Cricetulus griseus: one gene and its partner. The protein of the gene in region 2 interacts with the protein of the main gene of each other region in a pairwise test. Links are inferred from orthologs where the notes say so. Each region holds a gene or a part of one and is shown on either strand. Other genes may lie near its edges.

What was found. The genes of interacting proteins can lie anywhere in the genome.
Region 1: the proteins of Anxa11 (region 2) and Pdcd6 interact in binary tests that used the Homo sapiens proteins (3 or more experiments, as listed by UniProt). The link is inferred for Cricetulus griseus from reciprocal best matches to the Homo sapiens genes ANXA11 and PDCD6.

What each region holds. Positions count from the first base shown.
Region 1 is NC_048595.1:368,964,789-368,969,164, forward strand, and holds the start of Pdcd6 (programmed cell death protein 6), read right to left. Parts: upstream 2,807-4,376; 5' UTR 2,723-2,806; coding exon 2,622-2,722; intron 1,971-2,621; coding exon 1,909-1,970; intron 1-1,908. UniProt on the Homo sapiens protein: Calcium sensor that plays a key role in processes such as endoplasmic reticulum (ER)-Golgi vesicular transport, endosomal biogenesis or membrane repair.
Region 2 is NW_023276807.1:193,950,999-193,954,643, forward strand, and holds part of Anxa11 (annexin A11), read right to left. Parts: intron 2,789-3,645; 5' UTR 2,781-2,788; coding exon 2,726-2,780; intron 1,712-2,725; coding exon 1,599-1,711; intron 1-1,598. UniProt on the Homo sapiens protein: Binds specifically to calcyclin in a calcium-dependent manner. Required for midbody formation and completion of the terminal phase of cytokinesis.

The DNA.
Region 1 (4,376 bases), on a different chromosome or scaffold from region 2:
TATTTGTAATTTTATGTGCATTGGTGCTTTGCCATGGGTGTGGGATCCCCTGGAACTGGAGTTAGACAGTTATGAGCTGCCATGTGGGTGCTGGGAATTGAACCCACGTCCTCCTGAAGAGCAGTCTGTGCTCTTAACCACTGAGCCATCTCTGCAGCCTGGAAAATGATTCCTTTTATAACAAAAATAAGCTTTTTAAAATTTTCATCATGCCAGGCGTTGGTGGCGAATGCCTTTAATCCCAGCTCTTGGGAGGCAGAGGCAGAGGCAGGCAGATCTCTGTGAGTTCGAGGCCAGCCTGGTCTCTAGAGCGAGTGCCAAAGCTACACAGAGAAACCCTGTCTCGAAAAACAAAAACAAAAAAACGGAAAAAAAAAGAAAAAAAAGAAAAGACAGCCACACCTTAAGAATTACTAATGACATTTAATAAGAAAAACGTCTCTAGGATTATGGATATACTTTGTCTGGTAAGGTGCTTGCCCACTGTGCATTTAGTTCTAGGTTCTATTTTCAGTATGGAATAAATCAGCACTCAGTATTCAGGAGTTACAGACAAGAGGATATGCAAGTTCAAAGTCATCCTTGGCTACATAGAAGTTCCAGACTAGCCTAGAACACACAAGACTGCCAAAGAAAGAGAAAGGGAGGGAGGGAAGGAGGGAGAAGGGGAGAAAGAGATGGAGAGGGGAAGAGAGAGGGAGGGGGAGGGGAAGGGTAGGGAAGAGAGAGAGATCTTGGGGCTGGAGAAAGAGTTCAGAGGTTTAGAGCACTTGCTGCCATTGCAGAAGACCCAGGTTTGATTCTCAGCAACTACATGATAGCTCACAACCATCTGTAACTCCAGTTTCAGTGGATCAGATGCCCTCTTCTATCCTCTGTGGGCAGCAGACATACATACACTTGATTCACATACATACAAGCAGCTAAAACATTCACACAAATAAATACATCTTAAAATTATTTTTTTTTCCAAGACGGGTTTCTCTGTGTAGCCGTAGCTGTCCTAATACTCGCTCTGCAGACCAGGCTGGCCTTGAAGCCACAGAGATCGCTTGCCTCTGCCTCCCGTGTACTGGGATTAAAGGTGTGCGCCACCACTGCCAGGATTAAACAATTGTTTTTGTTTTTTGAGAGAGGGTTTCTCTGTGGCTTTGGAGGCTGTCCTGGAACTAGCTCCTGTAGATCAGGCTGGTCTCGAACTCAGAGATCTGCCTGCATCTGCCTCCTGAGTTCTGGGATTAAAGGTGTGTGCGACCACTGACTGCCTGGTGATAATTTTTTATATATATAAAAAAAATCCATCTGTAATGGTTACAACTAAAGATTAATAATACTGACACCAGCAAAAACATGACTCCATGGAGAGCTCCATACAAAGGCCACAATCTTCTTGATTCTGCTGGGACAGTTTCCTCACATTTATAGTGAGGAAACTTCTCTATGATCCTGCTGACAGCACTTGCCATATGTCTAGTTCCTAAATTGGCCCCAGAGTTTTAGCTTCCAACAAACCTATTTCCACAAAAGTACTTAATGACCATCTTGAAACCGTTCAACAACTAAACAATTACTTCCTAATGTCACCAGACAATGTTTCAGTGTCCCTGAAAATCCTCCTCAGAGGGGTTGCTAAGATTGATTTACCCAAGTAGGTCAAAGGCCTTCTAGATGACTAAGGGACTAGCCTCTCCCCTGAGGCCTATTCTGTAGCTCCCATTTCTCAGAAAGCATTTTCTGAGGCTCATATACATTTGTTTTGGAGCTTGGTGAGGCAACAATAATGATGATCAAGAAAATGTGGACACGGCAGCTTAGAAACACCTTTTCCTTATACTGGTACTGGCAGGACCTCCTTGGAAATTCCAGGAGAGAAACTGCTTACTGTGAATGGATCAGGCTTCAACTCACCATTGGATAATGCTTGCTGAAGCTCATTGTCTGAAATCACTCCACTCCTGTCTTTATCAACCCTACAAAATAAAAAAGACCGAGTAAGTTGGTGATGAAAAATAAAAGTGGCTAAAACATCATTTCTATCAAATCTACATTAGGTCTGGAACGTTACTCTAGCCAGACCTTTCTCTCAGCTCAGCTGGTATGTCACATGCCCCCAGGTGTGCCAGAGGTTAAGGAACACTTTTCCTTAGTTCTTCAAGTCCGTCTAAATCTACACCTGCACCAGTTCACATTTTTCATATTAGGTAAGGATTCTCTAAGTCAAATAAGTCAGTCATTCCTTGGCTACGAATCAGTGGAGTGACAGTCAGGCAATTCAGAAGGACGGCCAGGGACAAAAGAAGCTGCAGTAGTAACCAGTTCTTTTTTTTTTTTTTTTTTCTGATGCTGTTTTCCTTACTCAAGATTTTTTCCCCGTTCCTAAAGCAAGCACACCAGACCCTGTGGGGCGGCTGCTCCGCGCCCCCCAGCCCTGAGCAAAACCAAGTGCCAACACGACTCTGAGCCTTGTGCCACTGTCGACGAGAGGAAGCCGGGGATACAGGGTAGTAGGAAGGGTTACGAGGGAGGTCAGAGGGAAAGAAGGCAGGAGAGAACCGGCGAGTAGGCCCTGGAAACCGAGGGCCCGCCCAAGGGCCGGGGCAGCCGGGCAGCGCCGGCCTCACCGCTGGAAGACGTTCCACAGGAAGCTCTGGTCTGGCAGCGCAGCTCCAGCAGAAGGGCCGGGGCCGGCGCCCGGGCCTGGGCGGTAGGAGTAGGCCGCCATGGGCTGATGCACACCGGTAAAGCGAACCAGCTCCAAACGCGGTGCTTCCGCCTCCGTCCGGGGCAAGACCAGGAGCCCACAACTTCCTGGGAACAACGGAAGCGCGTGCCTTTGAGTCACTTGGCAGGCGTGGTCAGTTGCCATGCAACGTCTGGAGGGCGGTGCAACTAATCTGGGCGGGGCCTCCTATTCAAGCTAGAGGCGTCGGCTCCTGCCCCGCCCTCTTTCCCAGCCCAGGTGCAGGATGAGTTCCAAAGGGAGCAGACCTCCCAGCGCCAACTCAAGGTTACACAACTGCCTAGACCTGGCTGGGGTGGGAAGTGGTGAAAATTTCACTTGAGTTGATGACCTCCCGTTATGCCTGCATAGATAAGTATTGGTGCAAATGTGATGTGCACCAACCTCGTGAAGTTCTCGGCGGAAACTCAAAGTGACATTTTATGTACCCTGGAGTCTGTCCATCTGTCCGTATTTCACCCTCCCGTCTTCCCACTTGCTTATATCGGTTGAACCTCAGCCTCCCTGGGTTTACACAGTGACTTCATTTGTGAATGGCCCCTGTAAGGTTTGGTCTTGAGGTGAGAGCTTCATTTGTCTGTGACTGCTACTTGGACTTCTGTACTTAGATAAACACTTTTGGTGCTAACTCCTATATGCCTTCCTTCATTCTGGATACTAATTCTATGATGTTTTTATAGTGGAATGCCCCTGAATTGGGGGAATGCACAGCACTGGGACAACTATCAACCTGTCATGTTCACATTAACATGCTGTCACAGATCTGTGTGCTGTGTACAGTTTAAGATACTACAGTTTTTCCAGGTCTGCCATAGGGTTATTCCAGCTTTCCTATTCCTCATCCAGTGAAGATTGACTTATCATCATAACTGCTATCTTTGTGGGTTTTTAGTTTACTTGCTAAGGCTGAAAAGATTGGCCTCGTACATCTGAACCGTTCTTCCATGTGGACAACCATCCATTATTTAGCACAGCTCTAGATCTGATTACCTCCCAACTGTATCCTTTTCTGTCCCATTTTTCTTGTTCTTGTCCATGAGATTTTCAGATTCTTCAAAGAAACTATCTCATAGTTTTGGGATTTACCTCAAAATCTACTAAGTTCTTTAAGGTGGATTTTCTTCCATGATTTAGTGAATTCATTTTTTTTAAATTTCTCATAAACTGTTCCAATCTCACTTGTTTTATTTAGATTCTGAAATCCATTTTTAATCTGTCCTATCTCTGGCTCCTTTTCTCTTTTCCAGAAATAAAGTATTGACAACCATAATTTTGCTACTTGATCTTGGAATTTTCTAGTACAAACTTCAGCTAGAAGCTGTTACTTCTGCAGACTGGAGGCCCCTACCTACAGAACCTGGGACTTTACTTGTTGTTTACTAACAAGTCTCCAGCTTGGAATGTTGTAAAGGTCCAGTCCCAAGGAGATCACCTTCTCCAACAGCTTACAGACAGCTGTCTTCTAGGCACCATCATCTATCTTCTTACCCTATCTCAGGTTCAGTTTCCTCCTAACCAGGCCTGTTCTAAGCTTTCCAGGAGTTGAGAAATAAATGAGATAACACTGTCCTCCCTACTGTAATGTTAATATCATGTGTCTGCATATTGGGCCAGTCTTTCCTCTAGCCTAATTTCT
Region 2 (3,645 bases):
AGACTGACTCCTCACTTCAGCTTCTGATGCCCAATGTGAAACGGGTCCCGCCATCTTTATCCCTTACTTCCCCTCTTCAACCAGCAAGACCTACTCCTTACTGTCCCCAAGCTCATCAGGCCCATGGCTACCTCAAGAACTGGCTGTCCCTGGATATTCACATAGCACATTTCTCTACTATGTCAGATCTTTGTTCAAGGCCCCTTTTCATTTCCCACCGTAAGGCCTTTGGTCTACATTGCCACACAGCACTTCTAACCATTTAACCATATTGCTATTATCCACTCTACCCCCTCCACCCTGTGAAAGGGATCGGACCTAAGGTCTCATACATTACAGGCAAGCACGCTACCACTGACCTCATATCCCCATCTCTCCTTTTACTTCTTATTTTGAGACAATGACTCTCTAAGTTGCCCAGGCTGGCCATGAACTCACCCTGTAACTCAAATGGGCCATGAACTTGGGATCCTCCTACTTCGGCCTTCCACTAAGTTAAGATCATATGCCTATGCCACCCGGGTCATGTATCTACTTCTCTTATCTTCCTTACTCTCTTCTCTCCCTCTCCCCCACTCTCTGCCCTTTCTTTGACTCTACTGTTTTGAGACAGGTTCTCTCTATGTTTCCCAGGCTGGGCTGGAATTTTCAGTCCTCATGAATTCACTTACTGAATCCTAAGTGTATGCCACAATGCCCAGAAACACCTGTCACTTTTCAATATTGCATCTGGTAACTTATTTTCTGTCTCCTCTCCATAGATGCTAAGTGTATCTGGGCTGAGATTTCTATGTGTACAGGTGCACGTGGAGGCAAAGGTCACATGCTGTCTACCTTGTTTGAGACAGCATCTATTACTGGCCCTGGGATCACTGACTAGTCATTAAGTTCAATGGATCTGCCTTTCTCCACCTCCCTGGCACTGGGATTACAAGGGCCACACCTGGCTTTTCCCCCCGCATGGGTCCTGGGATTTGAACTCTGGGTCTGAGGCTGATATAGTAAGCACTTTACCACCTGGACTATCTCCCCAGCCCAGAGATTTTGTTTGCTGTATTCACATATTCCCAGGGCCCAGGAATGGGCCAAGCATAAATTTGGATGTCTACCAGTTGCACTGTTTCTACTAAGGGCACATTTGTTTTCTGATTATAAGACACACTCTTCTAAAAGCAAAACAACAAATAAAAACAGCCTAACCTACCTAACCTGACTGCTACATGGCCACCAAGTACCAACTGGAACAGCATCTGTATGTGTACCTCTCCACACATACCCTCCCTTCCCTCCAGGATTTGTGCTCAGCTTATCAAACATTCTCAATAAATTTTCCTGCAGGTACCAGCCTTACCCAACCTCCCAGGGCCTCGATGATCTGAGAAGACCATTGCTCCAAGAATCTCTTCCCCACATATAGATGGGGAAAGTGGTGCCTGGAGAGGGGTGGTAAGATGACCCTCATAGTCTAAGTTGCTGCTCAGCACTCCATGCTCACAGAGACAAGCATGAGGTATCTCTGGAGCCTAGAGGTCAGTAGCCTTGATCCCTAGAGCTCTGCGGCCACTAGCCCAGGGCACCTTGGCAGGGGCCTGACTCACCATGCCTGAGAGGTAGTCCTGGTTGAACTGCCCTGCATAGTTGGCCACATTATCCAGCCCGATTGGGGGCATGCTGGGAGGAGGGTAGCCAGCACCTCCCCAGGGACCACCACCTGAAAGCAACACCAAGCTCATCAGCTTGCATCCCTAGCCCAAGAAAGGGCAGAAAGGAAGGCTTCATAACAGCAGGGCTTCAAGGCAATGTTATGAATACCCAGAAAGATGGAGCAAGGTCAGGGGAAGGAGAGGAGCTTTCCCTTACTCCAGGGAAGAAGGCAGGCTGGGCCCTCTGTGGGGATCCGGGCATGCTTTGTCCTCTAAAACCCAGCATCACAGGATGAGAGAAAGATACACCCTGAGCATGTGACAGCAGTGAGTTCCATGAATGCTAAGAATTCTCAGATGGAGGGAAATGGGGCCATGCCAGAGGACATGGACACCATAAAAGACAGTAGCAAGGAGCTGGTTGGCTGTGTGTCCTGAGGCAAGACTCAACCACTCTCATTCATGTTTGCAGACAGCTAGAGATGATGACAAGTAGGATCTCAGACTGGTGAGGTAAAGGCTGAGGAGTGGATATCTGTGTGGGGCTGAGTCAGCAACATGGCCAGTGCCTGCCAGAAGCATTCTCACCCAGGGCAGTCCAAGTCTGCTCTGTAGCCTCTGGGCTTTGTAATACCTGGAGCATGCTATCACAGGTGGCAGAGTTTCTGCTGGAGAAGGGACTGCTTCAGAAGGAAGATAAGCTGTGCTGCTTCTGGCCATGTGGGTGGTCTCATTTTATCACCAAGGCTCTTGGAAGCCACAGGGAGGGGCAGCCAGGGAGGGACATTGAATCGACCCTTGGCATAGGCCTCACTGGGAGAGAATTCAAAATCATACTCCTTGAAACAGGGTAGGTGGCTAGAAGCAGCACTTTGGAGAACACCCCTACAGGCTGTCACTGCCTATCTTGTTAGTAGTGGGTACAGCCAGGGAAGTGTAAGAACCTTGAAGCTACTCTGCAAAGGAGTGTACCAGGCCTTTGTCCATATGTCAGCTAATAAGGCCCTCCCAGAACCAGCCAAAGCCAGGCCTCTCAGTTCCGGTCCCAGTGGGTGCAGAGGATCCACCATAGGTCCTCTTACCTGGAGCAGCTGGAGGGTAGCCACCAGCAGGTGGGGGGTAGCCTGGGTAGCTCATAGTTGACTCTGGAAAAGAAGGGAAAGTGTATTGAGATCATGCTGAGGTGAGGATGCTCCCCACCAGGTCCCTTGGGATCTGCTTCTTAGGAACACAACCTACTGCCAAGCCCTTACCAGAGGGATTAGCTTCCTGGGCTCCAGTGCAATCCAGTCCACACCTCCCTACGGGGCCTCCAGTTAGTAGGTCAGGCCCACCCAAGGATACTGGAGGGTGCAACCGCACAAGCCAGCTACTGGTTCCTCGACAGCTGCTCCCCCAAGCCTGGTTTCTGTCTCCACCAACAAGGGTACCAAGTGTTTGCTGTCTGGTGTGCTCTGACACCGTATTCTAGATAGAGCATTGCCTCAGACTCCATGTCTACTTGTCTCATCTTCCTTGTCCTTATCACTATCCCTCCCACAACAGAGGAGCACCCCATCTACAACTCTCAAGCCTGCAACAGCAACCCCCCTCCCTCAGGAATCAGACCCAACCTGCAAGTTCAGACCAGCTGCTGCTGCAGTCTTTAAATGGCTGATCTATGTATGTCTCTCCTGGGCATTCCATTCTCTAACACAAAACAACATAGTTATGTGGGAATCATCATTCTTAGAGCCAAGAGATGCCCTCAGAAGGGCCTGTCTGCTACAGAGCCCTGAATCAGTGCAGGTATTAAAGCCCAAAGAAAAGTAAGAGAGTTACAATGAGATGAGGCAGAAAGGGAAGCAGAGGGAACACCTGCTCTCACAGTCCTCTGTACACAGGTCTTTGGCAACACCTCATGTCAATTAAAATGCCCAGGAGGAACAGAGATCAAACACTGCCCTGCAACCTGCTTGCTCTTGCCACATAATAGCTGCTGCTGCTACTGCAGTAAGTGCAA